4 linked regions of the Stegostoma tigrinum genome follow. The protein of the gene in region 4 interacts with the protein of the main gene of each other region in a pairwise test. Links are inferred from orthologs where the notes say so. Each region holds a gene or a part of one and is shown on either strand. Other genes may lie near its edges.

Region 1 (7,596 bases), on a different chromosome or scaffold from region 4:
GAGTTCTTTGGGGTAGTGTCTTATGGAGAATCACCTTCAGGCTTTCAACAGCAACCTTGCATCCAAGAGAGTAGTGGGGATATTTGGTGGTGATTGCACTACTCAGTTTTAATCAGAACTTTTCAGGTACTGAAGGAATTATGTGCCCATCTGCAGCAATACCTAGACAATGTTTAGGCTTGGGCTGATAAGCAGCAGCATGAAAAAAGTGCCAGGCAATGACTATCTCATCAAAAGAAAACCTAACATCTCTCTTGACAATCAATGATATTACCATCACTGAATCCCTATTGGCACTGTTCACGAGTTACCATTAATCAGAAACTTAACTAGACCATGTAAATAGGTACAAGAACATTAAAGAATTGGAACTCTTCAGCACATAACTCACCTTCTGACTCCCAAAATGTTACAGGTTGATTTGTGCTTACAAAGAAGTTAAGAACAGCCAAAATCTCAATCACACGTTAATTTTGAATTTGAAGATCGATCTCAAACTGGTGAGGCAAGCAGAGGGATTTTTCCAGTCTCTAGCAGAATACTGATTGATTACTCTGCAACTGGAAATGATTCAAGAAGAAAGATCGTTGCTTCACTCTCATATTCCCTAACTTACATTATTTGCTTATCTAACAATAGCTCAAATTTAAGATTGTCATTCGTGTGTTTCAGTTCCGGCATGGCTTTTTCCCTTGGGGAACCAGACATGCTGATTTTGCCAAGATAATCCAAGTTTTTCACAATTCATCCCAATATCCCAATAGGTTTCTCTAAATTGCTTAAATGTGCTGGTTTTGTCTCCTCATTTTCAGAGGCGTCACCTCCCAGAATCCCCTTCTCTTTCCACTGCCCCTTACGTTCTGTTTCTAATCATCTGGTGTGGTGTACTACCTTGGGAGATCAGAACGGCCATACCAGGGACATTCCTGTAAGTGCAGAAATCTTTCCCATTGGCATCCAGGGCCAGGGCCAGGACACTTCCCCCTTGTTCACCTTTCAGTGCCTTGATTGGCCATTTCATGGGAAAGGTTATTCCAATATGGAAGTTCATGGACATACATTATTATTCACTGGAAATACACATAATATAAATAAATGATAACAGTAAAAGATGATAACATGATCCGGATACCTAACTTTAATTAAGATCTATTTACTCACTCAGAGCGAACATCAGCAGTAAGAAGCAGGAACCTTGGAAGCATGAAGGACAGCCTGAACTGTAGTGCAGCCAACCGTAATCGGGGGACGGCAACTGTGGGAACGGTGGCTTCCCGGAGTTTCGACAGCAGTAGGAATGGTTCCTGCCTGGAATGATGGCAGCAGCAGATTTCTTGCTGAAACGGTGATCGTCGGAGGTGGCAGTGAGTTTGAGCCCAGTTCGGGACCCGGCAACTTCAGCGGTGGCTGCATTGCTGAGATTTGTCCAGCGTGGACTCACGGTGGCGACAACGTTTGTGGAGGCAAGGTAGCACTGACGAATGGTTCCAGCAGCAGTGACACTGGGCCATGGCTGGGCCCTGGTATCTGACAGCGGTGGGAGCTGGTGTTCCAGCTGCGGTGGGGTGCGGGTCTCGGGGCACCTGAGTGTTTGCAGACTATGGACATACTTTGTGGCTTTGTTATCCTGGCAACAAGGACACATGGCAGAGGCGGTGGGGGTCTGGAGGGGTGTTTCCTTTTCTTTTGGCTGTTTCTTTTATCTCTGCTTCTGTTTTTTAATCCTGTTTTTTTTTGTATTCTTTAAGATGTTGCCGGGAAATGACGACTTTGTCCACTTTTCACCGTACTCCTGAACTCGAGTATATGTGACAATAAAATCTAATAAAATTACCAGCTATTCCATTTATTACAAATAATTTTTATGCTCGAGCCTGCTCTGCCATTCAATACAATCATGGCTGATCTCAGCTCGACTTTCCTGCCTGTTTTCCATAGCCCTTCAACCAGTTACAATGAAAAAGCAATCTCCTCCTTCAACTTACTCAGTGCACCACACTGTGGGGTAGTGAATTCCAGATTCATGACCCTTTGAGAGAAGTACTTCCTCCTCATCTCTGTTTGAAATTAGCTATCACTTATCCTAAAATTATGGCCTTTCATTCCAGATTATCCCGTAAACAGAAATATCCTCACTACATCTATTTTGTACATCTTCTTTAATATCTATATACTTCTGACTGTAAGGATAAAATGCTCAATCTCATGTCATATGACAAACCCCTCATCTGTGGAATCAATCTAGTGGACCTCCTCCAAACTGCTTCCGATGCAACTCCATCCCTCCGTAGGGGCACCAAAATCATACATAATATTCCAGGTTTTGTCTCATTAATGACTTATACAGTTGCAGGAAGACTTTTGTACATTTATACTCTATTCCCATAGCAATAAATGTCAAAATTCCATAGTTTTTTGCAATTCATGCATGTCACACACAAGGACATGCAGATCCAGCTGCACCTCATCATTCTGAAGTTTTTCTCTGTATAGGTAATACATTGTCTTTCTATTCTTCTGATCAAAATGGATGCCTCACACATATCCATGTTAAATTTTAACTGCCAAATTTTGGCCCCTTCAAATTTATTTTTTTTTCATTACAACTTACATTCCCACCTTTTTTATGTCATCAGAAAACTTGACTGCAGTACCTTCTATCCCTGCATCCAAGTCATTAATATAGATTGTAAATAACTGGGACCCAAGGACCGAGTCCTGTGGCCCCCGCTAGTTACATCTTGCCTGCCAGAAAAAGACTCATTTATCCTGATTCTCTGATTTCTGCTGTTTAGCCAATCCAAGCTGATATTTTAGTCACTGACTTGGCGTGTTAGCCTTTTATGTGGCACCTATCAAGTGCCTCCTGGAAATCCATATATACTCGATCTAGATATCCATTCTGCAAGTTACATCTTCAAAAAACACAAAGATAGGCAGAGGGAAAGGTAGTGTTGAGGAAGTGGGACAGCTGCAGAAGGACTTGACAGGCCAGGAGAGTGGACAAAGAAGTGGCAGATGGAATACAATGTGAGAAAGTGTGAGGTTATGCATTTTGGTGGAACAGAAGCATAGACTATTTTCTAAATGGGGAATGGTTTTGGAAATCGGAAGCACAAAGGGACTTGAGAGTGCTAGTTCAGAATAATCTTAAGGTTAACATGCAGGTTCAATTGGCAGTTAGGAAGGCAAAAGCAACGTTAGCTTTCATTTCGAGAGGACCAGAATACTACAGCAGAAATGTACTGCTGAGGCTGTATAAGGTTCTGGTCAGATTGCATTTGGAATTTTGTGAGCAGTTTTGGGCCCCATATCTAAAGGACATGCTGGCTTTGAAGGGGGCCCAGAGGAGATTTACAAGAATGATCCTGAGGATGAAGGGCTTGTCATGTGAGGAGCCGTTGAGGTCTCTGGATCTGTACTCCATGGAGCTACGGATGAGGGGATGGGGGGATGTTCTCACTGAAACTTAAAGAATACTGGATAGAATGGATATGGAGAAGATGTTTCTTCTAGTAGGCGAGACTAGGACTCAAGGGCACAATCTCAGAGTGAAAGAATGGCCCTTTAGAACTGAAATGAGGAGGAATTTCTTCAGCCACAGGGTGGTGATTGTGTGGAACGCATTGCTGAAGAAGGTTATGGTCAAGTTGTTGAGTGTATTTAAGACAGAGATAGATAGATACTTGATTGAAAAGGAGGTCAAGTAACAGGAAAAAGGCAGGAGAATAGGGGGTGAGAAACAAATCAGCCGTGATCGAATGGCTGGCAGAGCAGACTCGGTGGCCTAAATAGCCTAATCCTGCTCCTATATCTATAGTCTTATGGTCTTAATTTTAGCAAATTGGTTAAACATGATTTACCCTTCTTAAAGCCATTCTGACACTGGTGGATTGCATTTTGACTTTCTAAATATCCTGTTATTTCATAATAATAGATTCTAACAATTTCTCAATTACAGAAATTAAAACTAACCAGTCTATAGTTTCCCAGTGCCTGCCTTTCTCCCTTTCTGAGTAGTCGCACAATATTAGCATTTCTCCAATTCACTGGAACATTTCCAGCATCCAGAGAATTTTGAAATTTTATAATCAATGGATTCATTATCTCTGCTGCTATGCCCTTTAAGATGTTGGGACATTGAGCAAATTTGGGGAGATAGATTCTTAAAGTAGTAATGGTATGAAGGGTTGAGGAGAGTGGGCAGGAAAATGAAGGCCGAGGAGATGAGATCAGCCATAATCGTATCAAATGGCGCAGCAGGATTGAGGAACTGAATTGCCTACTGCTGCACCTAGGTCTTGTGTTCTCTACGACCCTGCCTCCCTCTTCCATCTTTTTTTATATTCTTACCTAAGTTTTTGGTCACTTACTTTAATATGTCTATATGTGCCCACTCGCCAAATTATATCTGCTTATATCCCGGTATAGTGCCTTCAGACGCCTCACAACGTGAACATCGCCTTATAAATGCAGTTGCTGTGGTTTTGGAGCCAGGGTCATTCAGTGCGTGTGAGCATTGTCAGTTTATAAATGCAACTTATAATTACACCATCTTATTTTAAACAGCAGAGACCGACCCCGTGCTATATGGAATTAGATCTCACCCTTATATTGAAAAGACAGGATAAGAAGAAATGAACTACAGATCCCTCAAGGCAATATTTGATGCATGAGCACTGAACGCCTCTTAGACCGTTTCCAAGGCGATGGATCTAAATATTTGATACAGTATCCATTCGATTCCTGTGAACCATTGTGGCGCAGATTGTGACAGTTCGATGCAACAAATCTTTCGAGTCCTGCTCATTTCAGGTACAGGTCTTATGGACGATTCGCGTTTCATTCAGCAGCGTCTTAGAATAAACCGGTAAGTCATGTTTATAAGATAATAAGGTGTAGAGCTGGGTGAACACAGCAGGCCAAGAAGCATCAGAGGAGCAAGAAAGCCTGACGTTTCGAACTTAGGCCCTCCTTCAGAAATGGGAGAGGCGACGGGGGTTTTCAAATAAATAGGAAGCGAGCGGGAGGCGGATAGAAGATGGATAAAGGAGAAGATAGGTGGAGAGGAGACAGACAGGTCAAAGAGGCGGGGATGGAGCCTGTAAAGGTGATGTGTAGGTGGGGAGGTAGGGAGGGGATAGGTCAGTCCAGGGAGGAGGGACAGGTCAAGGGGGCGGGATGAGGTTGGTAGGTAGGAGATGGGGGTGGGGCTTGTGGTGGAGGGGGCGGGGGTAGGTGGGCGGAAGGACAGGTTAGGGAGGCGGGGCCGAACTGGGCTGGTTTTGGGATGCAGCAGGGGAAAGGGGAGATTTTGAAACTCGTGAAGTCCACATTGGTACCATTGGGCTGTAGGGTTCCCAAGCGGAATAGTTTCTATCTACATACTGGTGCGGATCGAATTCCATCAATTTCTCGCGAGAGGACCTTCACCGCCTCAGTGCATCCTGCTGCATTGTCCTGGAATAACACAGTGTGGAGCTGGAGGAACACAGCATGCCAGGCGGCATCAGAGGAACAGGAAGGTTGACGTTTCGGATAGGGACCCTTCTTAATTTCTGGAGAGTCCCGACCCGAAACGTTAGCTTTCCTGCTCCCCTGATGCTGCCTGAACTGTTGTATTTCTCTATCTCCACACTGTGTTATCTCAGACTCCGGCATCTGCAGTTCTTGCTATCTCTGCATTGCCCTGGGGTTTTTTTTGTATTGCTTTGTTCCTGCACGGAAGAGACATATTTCGGAAAATAATAGTGCAAATCTTATACAAACATGTTGTCATCTTTCAAAAAGAGAAACTTACCTTCAGAAAATATTTTAATTTGAAAACCGAACATCAAAATTCAAAAAGAATGGCATTGAGTTGAAATTCTACAGATTCGAATGTTTATATTTGAATGGTGTGTTGATGACATCAATAGGGAACGCACAGGGACAAGTTTGATTGTCTGATAACGTGAATGACGGTACAAAATAATGAAAATAAGGAAGATGATCAAATTATACATCTACTGATGTCTGTGCACTACCTGAAATATTAAAAGCTGACAACACTCAAATTAAAACAAACAACAGAAACAAGCATAACAAGGTGTAGAGCTGGATGAACACAGCAGGCCAAGCAGCATCAGAGGAGCCGGAAGGCTGACGTTTTGGGACTCGACCCTTCTTCACAAATGGGGGAGGGGAAGGGGGTTCTGAAATAAATAGAGAGAGCGGGGGGAGGCGGATAGAAGATGGATAGAGGAGAACATAGGTGGAGAGGAGACAGACAGGTTAAAGAGGTGGGGAAGGAACCAGTAAGGGAAACAGAAATGAGCGGAAGACTGCACCCACTGTTATCGCCCCTCTCCATAATAATTAAAATATATGATTAATCTTAGCGATTTCATTTTTCAAATGGGTCTGTTATCCTTTAAACTTCCAATTTATCATACAATCACTTTCAAGAAAAAAAACTTTTCGATTTCTTGTTGGGTGTGTGTAGATATTCAGAAATGCCAGAAGATTTACCGGTGCTGGAGGGGAGATGAGTTTATTTTAATATACTGAATTATCATGATCTGAAATGTGAATTAGCATGATCCAAATTGCATTGTTTTAAAAGCTGGTGAAAGCAGATTCATTTGTAACTTTCAAAAGGGAATGAGACATCATTTGAGAAGGAAGTGGTATAAGGTATATAGAACATAGAACAGTACAGCACAGAACAGGCCCTTCAGCCCACAATGTTGTGCTGACCATTGATCCTCATGTATGCACCCTCAAATTTCTGTGACCATATACATATCCAGCAGTCTCTTAAATGACCCCAATGACCTTGCTTCCACAACTGCTGCTGGCAACGCATTCCATGCTCTCACAACTCTCTGCGTAAAGAACCTGCCTCTGACATCCCCTCTATACTTTCCACCAACCAGCTTAAAACTATGACCCCTCGTGCTAGCCATTTCTGCCCTGGGAAATAGTCTCTGGCTATCAACTCTATCTATGCCTCTCATTATCTTGTATACCTCAATTAGGTCCCCTCTCCTCCTCCTTTTCTCCAATGAAAAGAGACCGAGCTCAGTCAACCTCTCTTCATAAGATAAGCCCTCCAGTCCAGGCAGCATCCTGGTAAACCTCCTCTGAACCCTCTCCAAAGCATCCACATCTTTCCTATAATAGGGTGCCCAGAACTGGACGCAGTATTCCAAGTGCGGTCTAACCAAAGTTTTATAGAGCTGCAACAAGATCTCACGACTCTTAAACTCAATCCCCCTGTTAATGAAAGCCAAAACACCATGTGCTTTCTTAACAACCCTGTCCACTTGGGTGGCCATTTTAAGGGATCTATGTATCTGCACACCAAGATCCCTCTGTTCCTCCACGCTGCCAAGAATCCTATCCTTAATCCTGTACTCAGCTTTCAAATTCGACCTTCCAAAATGCATCACCTCGCATTTATCCAGGTTGAACTCCATCTGCCACCTCTCAGCCCATCTCTGCATCCTGTCAATGTCCCGCTGCAGCCTACAACAGCCCTCTACACTGTCAACGACACCTCCGACCTTTGTGTCGTCTGCAAACTTGCTGACCCATCCTTCAATCCCCTCATCC
Region 2 (6,912 bases), on a different chromosome or scaffold from region 4:
AAGTCACCATTGGTTAAATTTCACTAAAGATTTGAGATGTATGTTGTGCCTTGTCCATATTTCTGAAGCGCACAGGAATGTAAGTAATATTGCTGCCACAGACGATGAACTCAATGTCAGATTTGAAGTCTTTCTTAACAAACTCTCAGTTTCTCAGGTGTCTAAAGGCTGTGCTGGCATACTGGAGGTGATGTTGAATTTTCTCTTAATCTTTGTTCCAGTGAAGCAGTGATTCATATTGTCCAGAGGCTAGCCATAGATCTTGACCGTCACATTAGGGTTGAGTTTAGTTCTAGTGACAGTCCTGTACAATGGGAACAAGCTGGCAGAGGACCTTTGTCTTTCGGATGTTTAGCCTAAAGCCCATTGTCTTATATGTTTCGGTGAATGCATCAACAATGATTTAGGGTTCAATATTTATATTTCAATATTTACACAAAATTAACGAACAGAGTTTGTGTAAAACCTGCATCTAATGAATAGTACTTTGAGGTTAGTTATACTATTCATTAATTTTAGAAGCTGTAATGCTTGACAATAGCCTCTGTGTCATTGTGCCAGCTCCATTGTCTGACTCAGATGTTACATAGTTCCACTTAGTGGATTCCAAATTCTGTTCATCATTAATCATAGGTAGTAAGTGAGTGGAGCCCTGGAGTGCATCACTTGAGAGAATGGTGAAAATTAATTCAATAGTAAACAATCAAAAGGATATTTGGTGAACATTTGAAGGGAAAATGTTTGGAAAAGAGCAGAAGAATGAGATAAACTGAATAGCTTCACTTTGGTATAAGAATGATGAGTCAAATGATGTTCTTCTATACTGTATCATTCCATGCCCATTTTCCTCTCACGGGACAGGGACTTCCCTGAAAAGGCCACCATTCGTTGAGCATCCCTGATTGCCCTTGAACTAAGAGGTGTGCTGGGCCATATCAGTAGGCAGTTAAGAATCAATCACCTTGCTGTGGGTCTGGAGTCACGTGTAAGACAGGAATGGGAATGGAAGGGGATGAGAGAGAAGGTTGAACATGGCAGAAGCAGTAGGGGGAGGAGTAAAGTAGATTGATGGGGAGGGGAGAAAGAATGTGAGAGGGAGGAGAGAACATCCATATGATCAGGTGGGAGGGGTTGAGTTTCCACCACCTTCCTACCTCTCTCCACTGAAGTCCAAGAATGTCTGAAGTTGGCCATTCCTCTTGGACACCAGTTGAGGATCTTAAGTAGCTATTTTGGAGCAACTTAATGGCTTCATCCTGACACTGTTGTTAGTCAATCAGTTTCAGGTTTTGCTTTCTGTGGCGGATGAGACATACCACAGGGGCCCTCATTGTAAGCCTATCCTGTGACGGATTGAGAGACCTGAAATTGGAAAGGGTAGGGAGGGTGTACTCATAAGAAGCCACGACCCAGCCATTGTCAACCTCTTCCTTCCTGGCAATCTCATCCCAGCCCTGTAACCTGGCTGGAAAGGATTCCTTATCAATCCTCCGGTAAAAGCCCACTGCAATCCTGAGGCAACCACTGTTTTGAGTGGCACTTTAAGGGAATTTCTCAAGAGCACAACATGTCTGACTAACTTGCTGATTTTTTTAAAAGTAGTAACAGACGGTTCTTGAGGGCAATGCAGTTTATGTAGTATACATGACTTCTAGAAGAGACAGTTCAAACAACAGACTTGTGAAGAAAGTTAGATCTCAACGAATGACACAGTATCAATATGAATACAATAATTTTGAGTAATATGAAACAAAGGGAAATTTTTAATGGATGAGTTCCAGGCTGGCCATAGTTTGCACTGTTGGATTCCCCAGGTTTCCTTGACACATATTAATGATCTTGATCTTTGTGCAAAGAGCACACTTTCAAAAATTGCTGATGATATGATACTTGGATGCATGGTTCATTGAGAGGAGTATTGTAGTGAACCTCAGAAGGACATAGAAACATTGAGGAATAGACAGAGGCGGCAATCAATGAAGTCCAATGCAGGGAAGTTAAAGGTTTTGGCAGGAAGAACAAGGAGAGAAAATATAAAGGGTACAACTCTAAACGGAATGTGCATGTTCATTAAAGATAGCAGAACCGATAATAAAGCTATCCTGGGCTTTATCTAAAGGGACCCAAAACTTGTATGAGATAACAAAGTGTGGAACTGGGTGAACACAGCAGGCCAAACAGCATCTTAGGAGCACAAGAGCTGACGTTTCGGGCCTGGACCCTTCATCAGAGAGGGGGATGGGGTGAGGGTTCTGAAATAAATAGGGAGAGAGGGGGAGGCGAATCGAAGATGGATAGAGGAGAAGATACGTGGAGAGGAGACAGAAAAGTTAAAGAGCAGGGATGGAGCCATTAAAGGTGAGTGTAGGTGGGGAGGTAGGGAGGGGATAGGTCAGTCCGGGGAGGATGGACTGGTCAAGGGGGCGGGATGAGGTTAGCAGGTAGGAAATGGGGGTCTGGCTTGAGGTGAGAGGAGGGGATAGGTGAGATGAAGAACAGGTTAGGGAGGTGGGGATAAGGTGGGCTGGTTTTGGGATGCAGTGGGGGGAGGGAAGATTTTGAAGCTTGTGAAATCCACACTGATACCATTAGTCTGCAGGGTTCCCAAGCGGAATATGAGTTGCTGTTCCTGCAACCTTTGGGTGGCATCATTGTGGCACTGCAGGAGGCCCAAGATGGACATGTTGTCTAAGGAATGGGAGGGGGAGTTAAAATGGTTTGCGACTGGGAGGTGCAGTTGTTTACTGCGAACCGAGCGTAGGTGTTCTGCGAAGCGGTCCCCAAGCCTCTCCCCAGTGTAGAAGGAGCCACACTGGGTACAGCGGATGCAGTACACCACATTGGCGGATGTGCAGGTGAAAATCTGCTTGATGTGGAAAGTCTTCTTGGGGCCTGGGATGGGGGTGGAGGGAGGAGGTGTGGGGCAAGTGTAGCACTTCCTGTGGTTGCAGAGGTAAGTTCCAGGAGTGGTGGGGTTGGAGGGGAGTATGGAGCGTACAAGGGAGTCCCGGAGAGAGTGGGCTCTCTGGAAAGCAGACAAGGGTAGGGATGGAAAATATCTGGAAAATGTTGGGGTCGGATGGCAGACGGCGGAAGTGTTGGAGGATGATGCGTTGTATCCAGAGGTTGGTGGGGTGGTATGTGAGGAGGAGGGGGATTCTGTTTCGGCGGTTATTGTGGGAACAGAGTGTGAGGGATCAGTTGCAGAGATGCTTTTTCTGACTCAGCTAGAGCCCTGTGTCCAGGTCTGAACGCTGCATATTAGAAAGGCTGTGTGCGTGCACTGGGGAAGGTGCAGAAAAAAAAGATAGATTGGAGAAGTAAGGACTGTTTTCCTTTGGAGAAGTTGAGAGGAGGTTTGATTGGAAGCATTCAAAATCGTGAGGTCTGGACGGAGTAAGCAGTGAGAAAATGTTGCCGCTTGCGAAGAGACAGAGGACACAGTTTTAGGTTAACTGGGAAAAAAAAGTCAAGGTACTTTCACGAGCAGGCAGGCTCTCGAATTTTGCTTGAGAATTTGATGAAGATAAATTCAACCAAGGTATTCAACAGGGAATCAGACAGCTATCTGATCAATAACATGCGGGATTACGGAGAGATAGTACCGTATTAGACATTCCTTAGAAAATCCGGTTCAGACGTGAAGGGCTGAATGGCCTCCTGCTCTGCAACCTGAAATCTGCGAACTGTTGGTGGCTGTATCCTTTTCATATGCCCTTGTGCTGCATTCACTCACAAAGTGGAAAGGAAGAAGGTTTAGTGGTGACATTGGGACTGGAACGGCAGTTGGATTGACGGCGGAGTTCCGTTTTTGTCTCCTCCGAACACTGGGGAATAGCACAAGGCCAGGGCAGCGTGAGCGGGGGTAGGTTTTGAGTGGCGCTTTGTTTCTTTCCATTACGGTAGAGAGGGTCGGGTGACAGAGCCGGAGCTGTCTTCGCCGCAGTCTCTTCATTCATTCATTCAGCGATGCCTGCAGGTGGAAATTGGTGTGAAGCGGCGCCGGGGCCGGGGAAGACAGAGGCTCAGTAGGGAAATGTGTATCCTAGGGAGGGTGCCTGGTGGGGAACAGAGCTAGTCTGCTTGGTTTTAACCGGACTGAATCCCTTTGGACCAACACATCGATTCATAGATCTTGTCATGGAAGATAGTGCGAGCGAATTGTTGCCGGATCTGAAGGATCTGGAAAATAAGGTTGGACGTAAGACGCCAGAAGGCTTGCTGCGGTGGTTGCGGGAGGACGCAGCGCGGCTAGCCGGGGAGAAGGTGGACACTGCTGGGCCGAGCGGGGACCAGGCGGCGCTGTTCCCTGGGCAGAACAAGAAGCTGCCCCAGGGGCTGGCCGAGAAGATCCGAATGCTCCGGCTGGAAATGGTGAGGGGGTAGGGTGTTGATTTTTTTAAAAAAAACGTTACAGCTTGGCGTCTGCAGGTAAATTCTGGGCGAGTCGGCTGTAGCGTATGACTATCTCATTTCCGCCAGCAACGCCGTTCCTATGGAGGTTGCAATAAGTAGATGTTCGATACTTATATTGTCGGGAGCTCTGCCTAAATCCTACGGAAGTGCTCCCGGCATTGACCGGCTGCATTTAGCAAACAATTGTGACCCCCAGGCGGATCTCACCTGAGAAATCTTCACATTAACCCCTTCACTGAATGTTACGAAATGATCTCACACCTAGTCTTTCATTTTTAAAACTAAACTCACTTAGACTGATTTTAAGAAATTGTTCCTTTATCAGGTTAAAGGAAATACTCCCTTCAGGATTGGGAACAGTGTCGGGACCCAAGTCACAAGCTTCTGTACTTGACTCTGAGGAGGGGTCTTTGCTCTCTCCGCTGTGCAATAGTTTGAAAACTTGTTGAGGTAATGGGACTTGTTTCCTATTGAATCAACATTTTCCACAACATTTCAGTTAATAATTAACTGCTTCAAATGTGACTTTTGTCTTTTTTTGTTGAAACACTGAGTCAGTTTACAACGACGTTTGAATAGATATTTGAGTTAACGCTTCATTTCAAGTAAATTAATGTTGCTGGCTGATGCAAAATAAAAGGTCAGGTGCATGAATAAGTGATCTGAGTTAGCTCTGAGAAGAATCCATTCTGCATTAAATTGGCGAGGATCTCTGATTGTCAGTTAGCAATTCGCGACTTTTGAGGCTAAACCACGCCCTAATCTGAGTAACCCATAGACACTCGGAATTGATTCCTGTATCTATCTCGTCTCTAGGATCAACTTCCACTCAAGGTCAGAACTAACGCCAGTACTGGAGCCTTTGCTTATTTTATATACAAGTTACTTAACTTTCCCATTGCGATTTGTCAAGTTATAATTTCCTACTCCACCTGTTTTGTCTCTGGGGGTCGCTTTGTCCATACGATCGGTCCCTCCCACTGCAAATTTCACTGAAGATTTATGCTAACGTTGCGAATAAAGGCGTAAGAAATAGTAACAGGTGTAGACCATTTGGCCTCGTGAACCTTCCATCATAAGATTATGGCTAATTTTTTACCGTGGCCTCAACTCAGAATCTTCCCCTCCCCGCACCCCCTATAATCCTGATTTTCTTGAGGATCAAAGGTATTTCTAACAACCGTGATTAAATTCAACAACCCAGTTTCCCGTTCCAACGATTAAGAGCCCTCTGAGAGAAAAGAAATTCCTTCTCTGTTTTGAAACCCCTTATTCTTTGTTCTAGATTCTCCCCACAAAGGGAAACGTTCTCCTAGGATTTGCCTTGTCAGGCACACTTAGAATCTAATTGAAACATAGAGGATTCAAAGCCTTCTAAACTGTAAGGAGTAGGGTCCAACCTGTTCCCTTTGCTGGGTAAAGAATGGGTTCATCCCAGGTGACTCTGAACTTTCTAAACTTCATCCAATGTGAATATAAACCTTCCCCAATAAGAAAGCAAAGCTGTATGTAGTATTTTAGATGTGTTCTTACCAATGCTGATTTTGTTCAAACTAAATACATTGTGCTCTGATAAGACTGGTGGTGTCTGATGTGCAGGAGCACAGGATATGTTTGAATGAGCTGTAAATGAACATTACCTTTTGACGTGGCAACTATGCATTCTTCAGTTTTTGTCTTACAATTCCAATCACTCAAATTGTATAATCCCCTATCCAATATTCATCTGCTTTGTAATATTTCTACAGTATATGAGCAGGTTATTTCTGATACAGCTAATTATGTCAAGTGAAGCAGTCTTTAGAAATGAAAGAGAATTTGTAGGTTCAAAAACAATGGGTTTCAGAGGTTGATGGATCCAAAAATATTGGGGACATGGGAGAAGTGAAGTGGGATATTTACCCATTCCTCCTTCAGTCTTAGAAATTTAACATTCCTATTCTTAAGAATATACCCTTTTATAGGAACATTGGAGCAGGAATTGGCCATTCTCCTGTACAGTGCCCATATCCTTGAAAATTATGCAAGTAAAACAAGTTTGAGTACACAGTGTATGCTATAATATACTCCTGACATATTGCAAATTTAGGGGTTTGAGATATTTCTATGATTGCATAGATCTTTATGCTAGAGTATTAGAACTGGTGGCATTCCTAGTCAGGATTTCCTATTGACTTGTGGGGAGATGGTGGGCTGTAGTGTGCAGTATTGTTAAGAATCTACAAACATGGCAGGGTGCAGGTAATGCTAAAATATTTGGCTGTAAGTGGGTGACTGGCCTGCAGAAGATGCAAAACAGCTTCGAGTATTTCTCCAGATTTGTTGCTACTGTTAGTGATACTGATGGTTCTGACTTAGTCCATGCATTTTATAATTAGACTGTATTTGTTGTATTAGATTTTGACCAACAGGGGATGCAACATTTTGTTCATAGACGGAAATCTGTAAGTGAGTGAGTTTGAAAGGGGTTAATTTTCCAGGTTCTAGGCTGAGTAT
Region 3 (7,702 bases), on a different chromosome or scaffold from region 4:
ATGTGGAGTTAAGGGATAAACAAACAGGTAGCAAAAAGTTACACCATCAATTCTGCATCTCTTCAAGTCTTCCCTGTTCAGTACAAAAATATAAACAAAAATCAACTGCCATGAACCTTGGAATTATTATTGATGACCTAACAGTGCATCATATTTTGGCCGGTGATCCACATCTCATCAAGGAAGCAGTCAGTCAATGCTTTGACTTTCAGGTAAAAACAAAATGCCAGAGAAGTTCAACAGGTCTGGCAGCATCTGTGGAAAGAGAAACAGCTAATGATTCATGTTCATTCCGACTTCTTAAGAATGGAGCAGAGTCACATTGATTCAAAGTTAACTCTTGCTCTCTCCACAGACGCTGCCAGATGTGAACTTTTCCAACATTTTATGTTTTCATTTCAGATTTCCAGCAGTCCTTTGTTTTTACTTTGGTTTTCAATACTGCAGTTGTAACTTGAGCAAGAACAAATTAGTATAGAATTACAACACTCTTCATTGTCACATGCACTCGTACAGTGAAAAGTTTGTAATGTCACCTCTTGGCACATCTTAGGCACAGGCTATGTTCAGACAGATTAAGTGTGGTTACAGAGTTAAACAAAAGGTTAGCATAGAAACAGTTTAAAAAGTCCAGACTGATAATAGAAAGTGACCATAAGTACTTAAGGCTCCATCCCTCGTCAACATGAGTCCATGCTGCCTCCTCATGCCAGCCTCCATTCAGAACTGGCTGGGCTGCCCCTCGGGCTCTAATCCTCACCCATTCCACCGCCATTTGGGTACTGGCCTGCTCACTCCACCACCACAGGTCTCATTCTGCAAACTGCCCCGTGCTTACCCTGCTGCCGCTGCTAAACTCAGCTCCCACCCTGGCTCCAGCTGCAACTGGCTCCCACAACTCCATTCTTCAGTTAGGACAGGCAGTCAAAGGTCAAGGGTGGGGGAGAAGAAAAGCTACGAAGAAGACAAAAAACAAAAAAGGAAAAGGAGCATGCAAGTAAAGAAACTCCAATTGGAGCATCCTACTCTGCCACTGTCTTGAGCTTTTCAGGATTTTTTAAAAAACGTGGTGTTTTTAATGGTTTCTCTAGCCACTCTCTTCGTGATTGCTTTGACGAAAGAACATAGATTAGCGTCAGAGTTGTACAGCACAGAAACAGACCCTTAGGTCCAACTCATCCACGTCAACCAGATAGCCCAAATTAATCCATGTGGCTGCATTTTTACCCATATCTCTTTAAACCTTTCCTATTCATGTGGACATCCAACTGCCTTTTAAATGTTGTAATCTTGAATAAAACCAGAAAATGTTATATTTTCAATTAATCTAACAGAAACTGGGGAGAGAGAAACAAAGGTACCCTTGTTATGGTTCTGGAAATGAGTCGCCAATCTAAAAAGTCAACTACGATTTTCTCTCCACCTATGCTACCTCTTTCCAGCATGTTCTGCTTTTACTTCGTTCCAGCGTCCAGTACAGTATCCTTGTAGCGGTGGCCTCTGGACACCACAGTAGGATGGAGTGTCACCTTCCCTGATCAGACAGTGATGGATGAACTATGATGAAGGGTCTAGGCCCGAAACGTCAGCTTTTGTGCTCCTGAGATGCTGCTTGGCCTGCTGTGTTCATCCAGCTCCACACCTTGTTATCATGAATTCTCCAGCATCTGCAGTTCCCATTATCTCTGATGGAAGAACTACTTGTTGGCAACTCTCACAATCCACTGAAGCACGTACTGGTTTCAGATCGCGACGTGCAGCAGATCTACACAAACCGGCTGTGGGAAAAAGTATGAAACTTTTCGAGCGGATTGTCCAAAATTAAAGCGACGTGTCTTCGGAATCGACCCAACCGAAGGATTCTTCGTCGCTTCAACTCGGGCAGAAGCAAAAGTTTTAGGGAGCCCGGGGTTCACATTCTGTTCGGTGCAAGGCGTCAAACCTGCATTTTTTAAAAAAACGGTCAAAACGACCACGTCCACACATCTGCTTCGCGGTCTTTACAGGGGAGAAGAATGTAATAACCACCTCCAGACATCGCCTCCCACTGGATTCAACCAAATCTCATCATCACATTTTTGCAGCAGGAATACGAACAAAAATCTCCCATTTTTTTTGCGTGGGCCCTCACAATCAGCAAACGCGGTACGAAGCCAGTTTGTGGAGCCCAATTCCACTCAATTTGACAGAGGGCGGGAAAAAAAACCCACAGCCGGTTTCTTGAACGTTTAGTTTGACAGGAAAGATGTTAAAAATCCTTTCAGCTCATTGGAAACCGTCCGTCCGGTTTTGTGTACATCCTGACTCATCGAATGTAAAAAGGTAGACAAAGAGTAACTTAAAACAAAAAAAATCTCTCTCCCAGTTCCTTCAGCACTCGAAACAATTCCCCCCTCCCTCAAAAGCTTTTTAAATGAAGCGGAACATTACCCTACCCGTCCCCCCATGGTTTTAAATGAAGAAGGAACGGGGATCCACAAGTTGTCGAGAGACAACAGGGGAGAAGAGGGCGGGCTCCCGCCGTTTCCTTACCCCGCCATGGCCGCACTGGCGAGTAGCGACAGCAAACACAGCACATTCCTCACAGGGCCCTCTGACACCTTCCCTCTCGCAGCCTGCTCCCTCACTCCGTCGCTCTGCTTGCAGCCGGCCACGTTCTTCTTCCTCTGCTTCACTTCACTGGACATCTTGCAACTATAATCCCCGCCCCACGTTCAACACTTTCTCACCAAATTCCGGCGGCCAAGAGGCACTCCCCACCCCCGACCCAAACGCGCACCCGGCGAACATAAACCAGTCACTTTTGGCCTTTTTCTTTTGTCTCTCCAAGAGTTTCCTTTGACCCAATGAGATCTAAGATCTTGCGAGTTGACATGCTAGAGAACGGGAGAACTGTCAGTCTGTAGCAGACACGGGGTAATTGGACTGTAAATGGACTTTAATCCGCAGGAAATTTTCTGGGTAGCTGGTTTGACTCTCACCATGATTCAGTCATAGATCGGAATAAATGAGGACCGTGCACAATCTGCGTGAAAACCCATCTAGTTCACTCATGTGCAGTCTGATTCTTAGCTGCCCACTTGAAAAAATTGACCTCCCCCACCCCCTCCTATAAAGAATAATGGAAACCTAACACAAAACAAAGAACTGGGTATGCTGGACATCTGAAACACAAACAAAAATTACTGGAGAAACTCAGCAGGTCTGAAGCATTGGTGGGAAGTAAGCAGCTTTAAATTTGGAGTTCAATAACTCTTCGCTCTGCTGAAACCTGTTGATCCAGCAACAGCCCTCAACTATTATTGCAGCACTATGTCTCAAACTAGTCAAGCAATAGTCTGACAGTTATACCCAGGAAACCATACCTGCAACACTGGCCCTCACATTGTCTCAGAGGTGATGGCACAGTTATGCACAATCAGGAAGGAGTTTCCCTGGAAGTCCTCAACATTGAAGTATTGTGGCATTTTGTCAAATAAGTGCAAAGAAAACTCCTGCTGAATACCTTATACCATCCTTCCTCAACAGATAAATCAATGCTCCTTCATGCTGAACACTACATGGATGAAGCACAGAAGTAGCATGACAGCAGAATGGACTCTAGTTGGGAGACTTCAATGTTGACCAAAAAAAGTGGCTTAGCAGAACCACCGCTGACTGAGCTAATTAAGTCCTTAAAAAGCACAGCTGCTAGACTGGGACTGCAGCAAGAATTGAAGACAATCCAGTGCAGAACTAAGGAGAAGGCAAAACATCTTTCACTTCATCCTTCACACTTCACAGTACCTGCTGCTGTCCACTAATGCAGCTGTCCATGACAGCATTATGATCACAGTGCAGTTCTTGTGGAGAAAAGTCCTTTCTTCACATTGAGAATACTCTGTGTCATGATTGTGGAACTAAAAGGTAAAGTTGCCATAGTCTTACCAGACCTCAGTGGGAATGATGAATGGTGATTTAACCAAAGGGTCACCACAGCACAGATGAGGGGAGAGGTTGAGAAGAAGGTAATCTCAGCCAGTATCAGAATTGCACCTGCGCTATCCATGTCACCGTGTAAACCAAGCCAGCCATCCAGGCAACTGAGTTAACCAATCCCAAAATACCTACTACTATGCCAAATGGAGTAGACTTAAATGGATTTAGCAATTCAGGACTAGGTATTCCCGGAGATGCTGTGGGCCATCAGCAACAGCTAAATTGTACTCAAACATAATTTGTAAATCCATGGCCCAGCATAACCCCTACCATTACCAAATATCCTCCTCACTTTCACCTGGTCTATCTCTGACTCCGCTTTTTTGTGGTTAGGCTGTCTACCACTATCCACTACAAACCCACCAACTTAAGTTATTTTGACTACAGGTTATTGTATATTTAAGCTTCAGGTTTGTAGTTACTCTGTTAGGAAAATGTGAAATGGTGGTGTCTCTGTAGTTATGAATTTTGTTACCAGTTTTGAAAATGGGCACCACATTAGTTTGTTTACAGCATAGCAAGAGCTTCCAAATAGCCATTGACTCAAATGATCATTAGAATCTCAAACCAACATGAAGGGTCTAGGCCTGAAATGTCAGCTTTTGTGCTCCTGAGATGCTGCTTGGCCTGCTGTGTTCATCCAGCTTCACACTTTGTTATCATGAATACCATTGTTTCCTGTCTCCCATATATTGTACCTCTCTGAAAACTGTGTTAAGGTAACTGACAATACTACATCATTACATAAAGCAACTTCTTGGACGAATACTTGGGGTCTGCAGTCAATTATCGTCAGTGTTGGTTCCCTCACTATAGCAATGTCCAGCACTTCAAAAATCATAATCACTACAGCAAAGAAAAAAAGCCAGCCAATAAGCCTAATTGCATTTACACAAGCTCTCCAAATGAATTCATTTAGTTAATCTCAATAACCCGGTACATTGTTCCTTCTTGGTCCAATTCCCTTTTGGTTCCCTTGGTTCAATTGGACCTGTCTCAATCAATACATCAGTCAGTGCATTCTATAACTTAACCACTCATTGTGTAGAAGTCATTCCTCATATCACTATTGCGTCTTCTTACCAATTACTTTAAATCTGTACCATTTGTTCTGTATCATTTTTTCATGAATTGGAACAGTTCCTCCCCAACTACTCTGCCCAGGCCTTGTAGGATTCTGAATCTATTTAACCTTAATTTCAAGATTCAGGCTCACTCTGAGTACAATACTACTTAGAACAAACAAATGTTCACCAATTTATTAAGTTATCAAAAATAAGTGCAACGGAAACAGCACTTAGCCAGATGGCGGATGAAGCTACTCCATAAAAATATCATTATTCTCAGCTAACTAGAGTACAATTTATTTCTGCGCACATTACCACAGAAAAGGAAGCTTTATTAACTCTTTCTGAGCCACATTCCATAACATAATTAAAACCGTTTTGGAGTCCTGATTGGCCCAGACACTGCATGATTAGACTCTTAATTGCCTAGGTGATGCGCACACAATTCATAAACAGTTTAGGGTGAAATTTGGATTGCCTAGGTACTGTACGTCCAATTTCTGATTGGTTTCTTTTTTTGTTAATAACAGTCACCAACTGATATTTCCCATTATCTACTCATTGGTCTTTTAGATATTTTCGGGTCGACCTGATCAGAGAGTTTTCATCACACACCTTTGCAGCTAGTGGGTCATTAATCTGGGCCTTCTGGTTTCAGGGTTGGGACAGCACCATTACTCTACAAGACCCCTAGATAACAAAGTGTGGAGCTGGATGAACATAGCAGGCCAAGCAGCATCTGAGGAGCACAAAAGCTGATGTTTTGGGCCTAGACCCTTCATCAGAAAAGGAGGATGGGGAGAGGGTTCTGAAATAAATCAGGAGAGAGCAGGAGGATTACAAGAGAGTTGCAGTGGGAGAGAGATCCCCTGAGGATGGTCCGGAGGGAGGAGGGTAACTTCTTCAGGTTAGGCATCCCTGGAGGAGGCTTTGCAGTGGGGTTAAAATTGTGATCAGAGATAATGAGGACTGCAGACGCTGGAGAATCTGAGAAATCTACAAGACCCCTAATTGGTCTTTTAAGATGTCATTTACAAGGGCAGGGGGCATCCCTGTTTATTACAGCTTTGCCTATTATTTTATTGAATTTTGGTACTTACCATTGAGATAGCAAACCAATTTATGGTATCTCCTTTGCTGATTTATTAGAATGTATGATGGCCTGTTCTCATGAACTCATGGTCTCAGGCCTTGCTTAATTGAGGCACATTCCGAAATAAATAAAACACCTATCAGTTATTTTCTTTTCGAGGGCATCTGTTTATGTTCTTCATCTTGGTAGTGTTTGTTTGGAATAATTTATTTTAAAGTAAAGAACAGAGAGGAAAAGTTATTTGTATTGTACAACATAAAACTAATGCAGAAAACCATAAAATCAAAGAGTAGCTAATGTTAAAAGTTATTTCGACATTTGCAAGTGCAAAATAAAAATTGTATAAATGTGAGTCAACTGTGCACATTCAATCAATATATTGTTTCACTGATCAAAGTCTAGAAATTATATTGCTTACAAACAAACCAGACTTTGTTTCAGAATATTCTAAATACCATTAGCAAAGCATTTACTTGTTTTTTTTCCAAATATAGCCTATTCTTCTCATCAGCCTGGTCAGAATTTTTTATTACGTACCCTTGGAGCAGGGGGGACTTGAACTGAGGACTCCCAGTTCAGGGCTGGGGCATTGTCAGGAACTCTGCCACTGCACCACAAGAGACTCAGTAAAATATTTACTTGTTTTCTGAAATAAAACTAGAATATAGGCATTGTATCTCTTTCATTTGCTGATGATGCCAAGTTCTTGAGAGTAACTTAATGTGAAAGAATGTAATTGTTCAATCTTAACAGAATTTGTCAATTTTATTCTGCTTAAAACCCTGTGGGCATTCCTCTTTTCAGTGATTATATGTTTAATATAGTCTGAAATAATTTTGCTTTAAAATATTCATTCATAGAAAGTGGGCATTGTTGGCTTAGCCTAATTGTCTCTTAAACTGAGTGCTTTGCTAGGACCTTTTCAGAGGGCAGTTAAAAGTCAACCACCTTACTGAAGTTGAGTTTCATGGAGGTCAGATCAGGTAAGGGTGGTACACTAGTGAACCAGATGGGTTTTTAAAACAACAACCTACAATGTGGCAAGATAGCTACCAGGAAGCTAGCTTTCAATTCCTGATTACTTTTATTGAATTCAAATATTCTTTCAATATGGCGGGATTTGAACCCACATTTCCAGAACATTTGCTTGAGCATTTAGATTATTATTCCAGTGATATTATCATATTGCCACCACCTCCTGGTGATTTCAAGCCTTAATTACCTTTTAATACCTTATGATTCTAAATATCTTTATCAAGTTTCCTCTCAGCCTTCTCCAAGGAAATGTCACAATTTCTCCACTTTACTTGTACAATGCTTCTTTCAATCTGGTCTACTACATTCACAATGTGGTCTTCTTTAAATTGGCAAGAAGAAAATGCAGACAGGGTGACAGCTTTGTGAAACATCCCTGCTCTAACTGTAAGAATGACTTGGAGCTTCAAGTTGATTGTCCTTTCAAAAACCAGGTCACCAACCTCCACCACCCCCAACCCCCATCTTGTTTATGTCTTGTCAGCTTTGCTGTCAGCAGAGTGGACCCACCATTTTCTCTCTTAGTGTT
Region 4 (7,881 bases):
GTAAGGAGTGTGGGATATGTAAGAGTGTTACAGTGAGATACAGCATACTGAGTAAGACTTGTGCTGCCATTTGACAAATATTTCACAATTTTTCTGTTTGTGGCCGGTTGAAGGAACCTGTTTTTTTGTACTCTGTCCAAGTCCGCTCATAACTCTGATCTGTTAAAACTGCCATTATCCTTCACAGCTCTGAGAATAATGCTTGCAGTTTGTTTAAGTGTCCACACAAGTGAAGGCCCTCATCCCCCAAGCCTTTCCAGTAAATCTCCGCTGCTCTCGCTTGGCTTTCTTTGGGTTTAATGTTCACTGCAGCCATTCGCTTTGGAATGTGCCCTGTTTCACACAAATGTGTATTGCATTCAGCGCTATCCTGGGTCGCCACAGCTGACTTCAGCACCTAAAGGTCAGAGATAGCCCAGATACCCTCTCCTATCACTGTCCAGCGTTTCTGAGTGGAAGTACATGTCCCTGCAGCTGCTGGAACTCTGCTGTGATGCCCACCACAGTTGGATAGCCCACAATTTTTATGCTTATCAATTAGGGGAATGTGGGTGTTGTTGGCTAAACCAACTTTACTGCCCTACCCTAGTTGTGGCTAGTCTTGTGAGCAGCTTCTCAGGTGCAGGCTTGAGACAGAGTATGCTTGTAGCAGTCACCTTACCAACCATGACCATTCTGTGCCAACGACGCTGCATAGTGAGTGCAGGTGCCAGTGCAGGATTGGTGTGGGGTAATTCAGCCAGGCACGCAAAACCACTCAGCATTTCAAAGCAAAGATCTGGGGTTTCTGTGCTGTCGGAGGGTCAGCGCTGAGAGAGCAGGTGTCAGAGGGTCAGTGCTGAGGGAGCGGGCGCTGTCGGAGGGTCAGCGCTGAGGGAGCGGGCACTGCCGGAGGGTCAGTGCTGAGGGAGCGGGCACTGCCGGAGGGTCAGTGCTGAGGGAGCGGGCACTGCCGGAGGGTCAGTGCTGAGGGAGCGGACACTGCCGGAGGGTCAGTGCTGAGGGAGCGGACACTGTCGGAGGGTCAGTGCTGAGGGAGCGGACACTGTCGGAGGGTCAGTGCTGAGGGAGCGGACACTGTCGGAGGGTCAGTGCTGAGGGAGCGGGCACTGTCAGAGGGTCAGTGCTGAGGGAGCGGGCACTGTCGGAGGGTCAGTGCTGAGGGAGCGGACACTGTCGGAGGGTCAGTGCTGAGGGAGCGGGCACTGTCGGAGGGTCAGTGCTGAGGGAGCGGGCGCTGTCGGAGCGTCAGTGCTGAGGGAGCGGGCACTGTCGGAGAGTCAGTGCTGAGGGAGCGGACACTGTCGGAGGGTCGGAGCTGAGGGAGCGGGCACTGTCGGAGGGTCGGAGCTGAGGGAGCGGGCGCTGTCGGAGGGTCGGAGCTGAGGGAGTGGGCGCTGTCGGAGGGTCGGAGCTGAGGGAGCGGGCACTGTCGGAGGGTCAGCGCTGAGGGAGCGGGCGCTGTCGGAGGGTCAGCGCTGAGGGAGCGGGCACTGTCGGAGGGTCGGAGCTGAGGGAGCGGGCACTGTCGGAGGGTCAGCGCTGAGGGAGCGGGCGCTGTCGGAGGGTCAGCGCTGAGGGAGTGGGCACTGTCGGAGGGTCAGTGCTGAGGGAGTGGGCACTGTCGGAGGGTCAGTGCTGAGGGAGCGGGCACTGTCGGAGGGTCAGTGCTGAGGGAGCGGGCGCTGTCGGAGGGTCGGAGCTGAGGGAGCGGGCACTGTCGGAGGGTCAGCGCTGAGGGAGCGGGCACTGTCGGAGGGTCAGTGCTGAGGGAGCGGGCACTGTCGGAGGGTCAGTGCTGAGGGAGCGGGCGCTGTCGGAGGGTCGGAGCTGAGGGAGCGGGCACTGTCGGAGGGTCGGAGCTGAGGGAGCGGGCACTGTCGGAGGGTCAGTGCTGAGGGAGCGGGCGCTGTCGGAGGGTCAGTGCTGAGGGAGCGGGCGCTGTCGGAGGGTCGGAGCTGAGGGAGCGGGCGCTGTCGGAGGGTCAGTGCTGAGGGAGCGGGCGCTGTCGGAGGGTCAGTGCTGAGGGAGCGGGCGCTGTCGGAGGGTCGGAGCTGAGGGAGCGGGCACTGTCGGAGGGTCGGAGCTGAGGGAGCGGGCGCTGTCGGAGGGTCGGAGCTGAGGGAGTGGGCGCTGTCGGAGGGTCGGAGCTGAGGGAGCGGGCGCTGTCGGAGGGTCAGCGCTGAGGGAGCGGGCGCTGTCGGAGGGTCAGCGCTGAGGGAGCGGGCGCTGTCGGAGGGTCAGTGCTGAGGGAGCGGGCGCTGTCGGAGGGTCAGTGCTGAGGGAGCGGGCGCTGTCTGAGGGTCAGTGCTGAGGGAGCGGGCGCTGTCAGAGGGTCAGTGCTGAGGGAGCGGGCGCTGTCGGAGGGTCGGAGCTGAGGGAGCGGGCGCTGTCGGAGGGTCGGAGCTGAGGGAGCGGGCGCTGTCAGAGGGTCGGAGCTGAGGGAGCGGGCGCTGTCAGAGGGTCAGTGCTGAGGGAGCGCCGCACTGTCGGAGGGTCGGAGCTGAGGGAGCGCCGCACTGTCGGAGGGTCTAAATGAATGTGTGGCACGGGTCGCACTGCGTTCGCTATCGCAACATCCCGCCCAGTGAGCTCCCACTGAATTAGAAGTGACAGAGTCGTGTCTAGTATGAGGCCTAGGCCTCCCCCTCCTTACCTGCTTGCTCCTCTCCTCTGCTGCCTTTTTGTCTGCCTCAGCCTGCTCAGCCCTGTCCAGGGCGTTCTCCTTGTCCAGCTTCAGCATCTGCATCTTCTTCTTGATGGCCTCCATTCTGGATTTGTACGGTGGGCCTCGGCGACGACTGGGGAAGAGGAACGGAGGCAGACGAGGGCAGCCGAGCTGTGTGTGAGCGCCGGTGGGCACCGAGAGAGAGAGAGAGAGGAAGAGGATGAAAAAGGTGCCCGTGGTACAGTGAGTCTCCTGTGCTCTCCCACACTGATGTAGTCTCCCCTCGACTCCGAAACCCAACCTTGGGAGTATTTTTAAGTAATCAGTGGGACACTGTCGAGGTTCAGACAATGATTGGTTGGCTGGATGCCGTCCTCTGACTTCAGTGGACAACTGTTTTCTATTAAAAGAGAGGCCAGCTGCTCTCCTTACTCTTCTTTTAACACTCCATCTGGTGCCCGACTTGAGAAGCTTTTTTTTACAGCCTGGTTGGGGACCATTCAGCCCTGTCAGCGACCTCAGGAACTATCACTCAATCCCTTCCACCGCACCCAATCAGAATAACCTTCTGATGTATACCAAGCTCGGCTTCTTTCAGCTTTTCGACACCTCAACCCATTCCCCCGGCCTGACTCTCCCCCGACTCGTCGAGGGAGCAAGTCCCCCATTCTCCTCCCCACACTCCCTGTGGGAGCAAGGCCCCTCCCCATCCTCCTCCCCACTAGAGCGAATCCCCCATTCTCCCCCCTCTCCCCCAAATCCCCATGGCAGAGAGTCCCCCATTCTACCCCTCCCATTACCCGTAGGAGCGAGTCCCCCATTCTCCCTGTGGGAGCAAATCCCCCATTCTCTGCGCCCCCCCCCCCCACTCCCCACGGGATCGAGTCCCCCATTCTCCCCCCACCTCACTCCTCACAGGAGTGAGTCCCTCATTCTCTTTCCCCCAATTCCCTGCAGGAGCAGGTCCCCTCTTCTCCCCCCACGAAATACTGAAGGCACAACCTTTGGTGAGGACTGAGAAGCACTGTATCTGACCTTTACCCAGGTCCACAAGGCAAGCATCTAACATGTCAGCCTAACTCAGCTGGAGCTCCGAGGTTAGCACTCACGGAATCGGAGTTAACAGGTTCAAGACCCGTTCCAGAGAATGCAGCAAATAAGACAGACTGGCCAGTGCCAGCACGGTGCAGCTCCATCAGAGGGTCAGCGCTGAGGGAGCGGTCACTGTAGGAGAGTCAGCGCTGAGGGAGCTGGCACTGTCGGAGAGTCAGCGCTGAGGGAGCTGGCACTGTCGGAGAGTCAGCATTGAGGGAGCAGGCACTGTCCGAGGGTCGCACAGAGGGAGCAGGAACTGTCTAAGGGCTAGTGCTGAGAGCGCGGGCACTGTCAGGGGGGTCAGCGCTGAGTGAGCGAGCACTGTCAGGTTGTCAGTGCTGATGGAGCAGGCACTGTTGGAGGGTCAGTGCTGGTAGAGCGGGCCCTGTCAGAGGGTCAGTGCTGATGGAGCTGGCACTGTGGGAGGGTCAGTGCTGAGGGAGCTGGCACTGTGAGAGGGTCAGTGCTGATGGAGCGGGCACTGTCAGAGGGTCAGTGCTGATGGAGCGGGCACTGTCGGAGGGTCAGTGCTGGTAGAGCGGGCACTGTGGGAGGGTCAGTGCTGAGGGAGCTGGCACTGTGGGAGGGTCAGTGCTGAGGGAGCTGGCACTGTGGGAGGGCCAATGCTGGGGGAGCAGGCACTGCCAAGATGGAATCGAACCCTGGGGGGACTATTAGGGCAGGAGCTTGAAATGTGAACCAGGCCTTTTGGAGGTGAAAGGTCATTGAGGAAGGGTCGCCAGACCCGAAACATTTACTCTGATCTTTTGTTCACAGATGCTGCCAGACCTGTTGAGCTTTTCCAGCAACTTCTGATTTTGTTCTTGATTTATACCATCCGCAGTTCTTTCGGTTTTTCTTTGGGGGTGAAGTCAGGAGGACTTACCCAGCAAAGGGGCATGGGTCCCTGCAACATTATTCCCGCCACAACAGTTGTCATGCCAGCAATTTTGTCAAAATAAGCAAGCTGAATCTGAGCAGGCTTTTGATCAGCAAGTGGTCTAGAACCACAGTGAGTGGATAGAGCTAAGGGAATGGTGCAGTGTTCTTATAGACCCAATGCACAAAACAGACCCTTCGAGCCAACCAGTCCATGCCGGCCCTAATCCCAAACTAAACTAGCTCCCACCTGCCTGCTCCTGGCCCATATCCCTCCAAACCCTTCCTATTAATGTACTTATTCAAATGTCCTTTAAATGTTGTAACTACGCCTGCATCCACCGCTTCCTCAGGATGTTCATTCCACGCACGAACCGCTGTCTGTGTAAATAAAAACTTGCCCCTTGTGTCCTTTTCTCACCTTAAAAACATGCCCCCTAGTCTTGCCCCTAGTCTAAGGAAATGTCACCTGCCATTCATCATATCTAAACCCGTCATGATTTAATAAACGTCAATAAGGCCAGCCTTCGAACTCAGGGAATAATCTCAGCCTCTCCTTGTAACGCATACCCTCCATGCTCATTGAATGGTGGACTCTGTTGAAGGGACTGAAGGGCCTCTTCCCAATCCTATGTTGTGGTGCCCTTCCTGACACGGGGGAGGCCAGTTTTCTGGCCATTCTTTAGCCGGCATCTGGGCGGACAGCCAATGGGTCCTCCGTCAGCCCCCACCCGGCCAAGTCTGTGCCCTCTGGGCTCGGTGAGGGCAGTGAGCATGCGCAGGAGTATCGCTCCTTCCCTTTCTCCCCGCTGCTATCCACACAGCCTCTCTGCTTGTAGCTGTATCGTCGCTGTTGCTGGGAGGAAGTCCAGAACTCCCTCGCATTACGGTAGGATAACAAGTACCAGCCTTGCCAGTGAATCCCAATGTGTGGGTGAGGTCAAGTACTTTCAGGCTTCAAGAAGGAAGGTAGAGTTGTACAGCGCGGAAACAGATCCCTACAGCTCCAACCTTTCAAGCCCAGCAAATATCTTTGTAAATCTTTTCTGCACCCTTTCTAGTTTAGCAACATCTTTCCTACAGCAGGGAGACCAGAATTGAATGCAGTATTCCAGTAGTAGCCCTAACCAATGTCCTGTACAGCTGCAACATGGCCCTCCCAACTCCCTGTACTCAAAGCTCTGACCAATAAAGGCAAGCGTACCAAACACCTTCACTGCCCTGTCTACCTGCAGCTCCACTTGTGAGGAGCTATGAACGTGCACTCCAAGGCACCTCTGTTCAGCAACACTCCCCCAGGACCTTACCATTAAGTGTATAAGTCCTGCCCTGATTTGCATTACCAAACGCCACATTTCACATTTATCTCAATTAAACACCGTCTGCTGCTCCTCGGCCCCTTCTGATCAAGATCCTGCTGGGCTTTGGGGTAACCTTCTTCCCTGTCCGCTACAGCACCAATTTCGGTGTCATCTGCAAACTTACTAACCATTCCTCCTATATTCGCACCCAAATCCTTTATACAAAGGATACTTCCCACAGCGGTTGCCTGGAATATTTTAGGGTGGGTTTACTTTCTGAGCTACATCTGATCAAGCTGCCCACCATCTAACCCCTGTGCCAGAAGGTTTTTACAATAGGTTAAGGTGGATCTATTCCTGTCAAGTTATCTCAGTCAGTCAAAAATAAAGCCCCAGCAGGAATCTGGCCAGCAGCTGTCACAACACATTGACGCCCGTGAGCACAAATAGATTGTGATGATGTCCCCCAAGGCTGTATTCCTTTTGTATTTCGCTGCTGACTGCCTTGCAGTGCACCTCATGCCCGTTCTTGACACAGGAACATTCGGAGCAACTTGGCTCCTTCACTCTGGAAGCCATCTTGGCTGGGTGTCTGCCCCCATTTCTGACTCCAGGAGTCATGAAGCCTTTGAGTCACAGAGACGTACGACACCTTTCAGCCCGACCTGTCCGTGCCAACCCAGATTAGCCTAAATTCATCTGGTTCCATTTGCCAGCATTTGGCCCATATCCCTCTAAACCCTTTCTATCCAAGTACCGAGCCAGATGCCTTTTAAATGTTGTCATTGTACCAGCCTCTACCACTTCCTCATTCTGTAAATACACCACCCTCTGCCTGAAAATGTTGCTCCTTTGGTCCCTTTTAAATATTTCCCCTCTCACCTTAAACCTCTGCCCCTCTAGTTTTGGACTCCTCTGCCCTGGGGGAAAAGACCTTGGTTACTCACCCCCATCCATGCCCCCCATGATTTTATAAACCTCTATAAGGTCACCCCTCAGCCTCTGATGCTTCAGAGAAATTAGCCCCAGCCTCTCACGATCGCTCAAACTCTGCTACATCCTTGTAAAGTTTCCTGAACCCTTTCTAGTTTCACAACATCCTGTAGGAGGGAGACCAGAATTATTCCAAAAATGGCCTAACTAATATCCTATACAGCTGCAACATGACCTCTTAACTCCTACACTCAATGCACTGACCAATAAAGGCGACTGTACCAAACACCTTCTTCACCACCCTGTCTACTTATGACCACACTTTCAAGGGAGTATGAGCCTGCACTCCGAGATCTCTTTGTTCAGCTCAACTCCCCAAGACCTGACCATTATGTGTATAAGTCCTGCCCTGATTTGCCTTTCCAAAATGCAGCACCTCACATTTGTCTAAATTAAATTTGTCTGTCACTCCTCGGCCCATTGTACTCTGAGGTAACCTTCTTCGCTGCCTGCTACACCTTCAACTTTAGTGTCATCTGCAAACTTACTAACCATACCTCCTATGTTCACATCCAAACCATTTATGTAAAAGATGAAAAGCTGTGGACCCCACACTCATCCTTGTGGCACACTACTGGTCACAAGACTCCAGTCTGAAAATCAACCCTCTACCACTACCTTCTGTCTCCTACCATCGAGCCAGTTCTGTATTGCTTCGATTATGTTGCTAAGACTGCACTTGGAGTACAGTTTTGGTTTCCTTATCTCAGGAAAGGCTCTATTGTTAGAGAGGGAGTTTTTTTTTAATTCACTTGTGGGGGCATGGACCAGCATCTATTGCCCTTCTCTAGTTGCCCCTTTGAGAAGTGGTGATGACCTGCCTTCTTGAACCGCTGCAGTCCATGTGCAGTACGTAGATGGGCAATACCATGAAGGAAGGATATCCAGGATTTCAACCCAGTACCTAACCCCGTCCTGTCTCTGTCCTGGGAATGTTCGATGGGG

What was found. The genes of interacting proteins can lie anywhere in the genome.
Region 1: the proteins of tropomyosin alpha-3 chain (region 4) and lebercilin-like protein interact in binary tests that used the Homo sapiens proteins (3 or more experiments, as listed by UniProt). The two-hybrid records come from large-scale screens. The link is inferred for Stegostoma tigrinum from reciprocal best matches to the Homo sapiens genes TPM3 and LCA5L.
Region 2: the proteins of tropomyosin alpha-3 chain (region 4) and lurap1 interact in binary tests that used the Homo sapiens proteins (3 or more experiments, as listed by UniProt). The two-hybrid records come from large-scale screens. The link is inferred for Stegostoma tigrinum from reciprocal best matches to the Homo sapiens genes TPM3 and LURAP1.
Region 3: the proteins of tropomyosin alpha-3 chain (region 4) and inhibitor of nuclear factor kappa-B kinase-interacting protein-like interact in a two-hybrid assay, tested with the Homo sapiens proteins (2 studies listed by BioGRID). The two-hybrid records come from large-scale screens. The link is inferred for Stegostoma tigrinum from reciprocal best matches to the Homo sapiens genes TPM3 and IKBIP.

Annotation. Positions count from the first base shown.
Region 1 is NC_081365.1:19,150,016-19,157,611, reverse strand, and holds the start of lebercilin-like protein, read left to right. Parts: upstream 1-4,587; 5' UTR 4,588-4,815; exon of another isoform or gene 4,816-4,870; intron 4,871-7,596.
Region 2 is NC_081361.1:65,212,569-65,219,480, forward strand, and holds the start of lurap1 (leucine rich adaptor protein 1), read left to right. Parts: upstream 1-3,903; 5' UTR 3,904-4,140; coding exon 4,141-4,374; intron 4,375-6,912. UniProt on the Homo sapiens protein: Acts as an activator of the canonical NF-kappa-B pathway and drive the production of pro-inflammatory cytokines. Promotes the antigen (Ag)-presenting and priming function of dendritic cells via the canonical NF-kappa-B pathway.
Region 3 is NC_081378.1:35,460,264-35,467,965, reverse strand, and holds the start of inhibitor of nuclear factor kappa-B kinase-interacting protein-like, read right to left. Parts: upstream 3,010-7,702; 5' UTR 2,688-3,009; coding exon 2,533-2,687; intron 2,523-2,532; exon of another isoform or gene 1,362-2,522; intron 1-1,361. UniProt on the Homo sapiens protein: Target of p53/TP53 with pro-apoptotic function.
Region 4 is NC_081400.1:4,429,299-4,437,179, forward strand, and holds the start of tropomyosin alpha-3 chain, read right to left. Parts: upstream 3,001-7,881; 5' UTR 2,771-3,000; coding exon 2,657-2,770; intron 1-2,656. UniProt on the Homo sapiens protein: Binds to actin filaments in muscle and non-muscle cells. Plays a central role, in association with the troponin complex, in the calcium dependent regulation of vertebrate striated muscle contraction.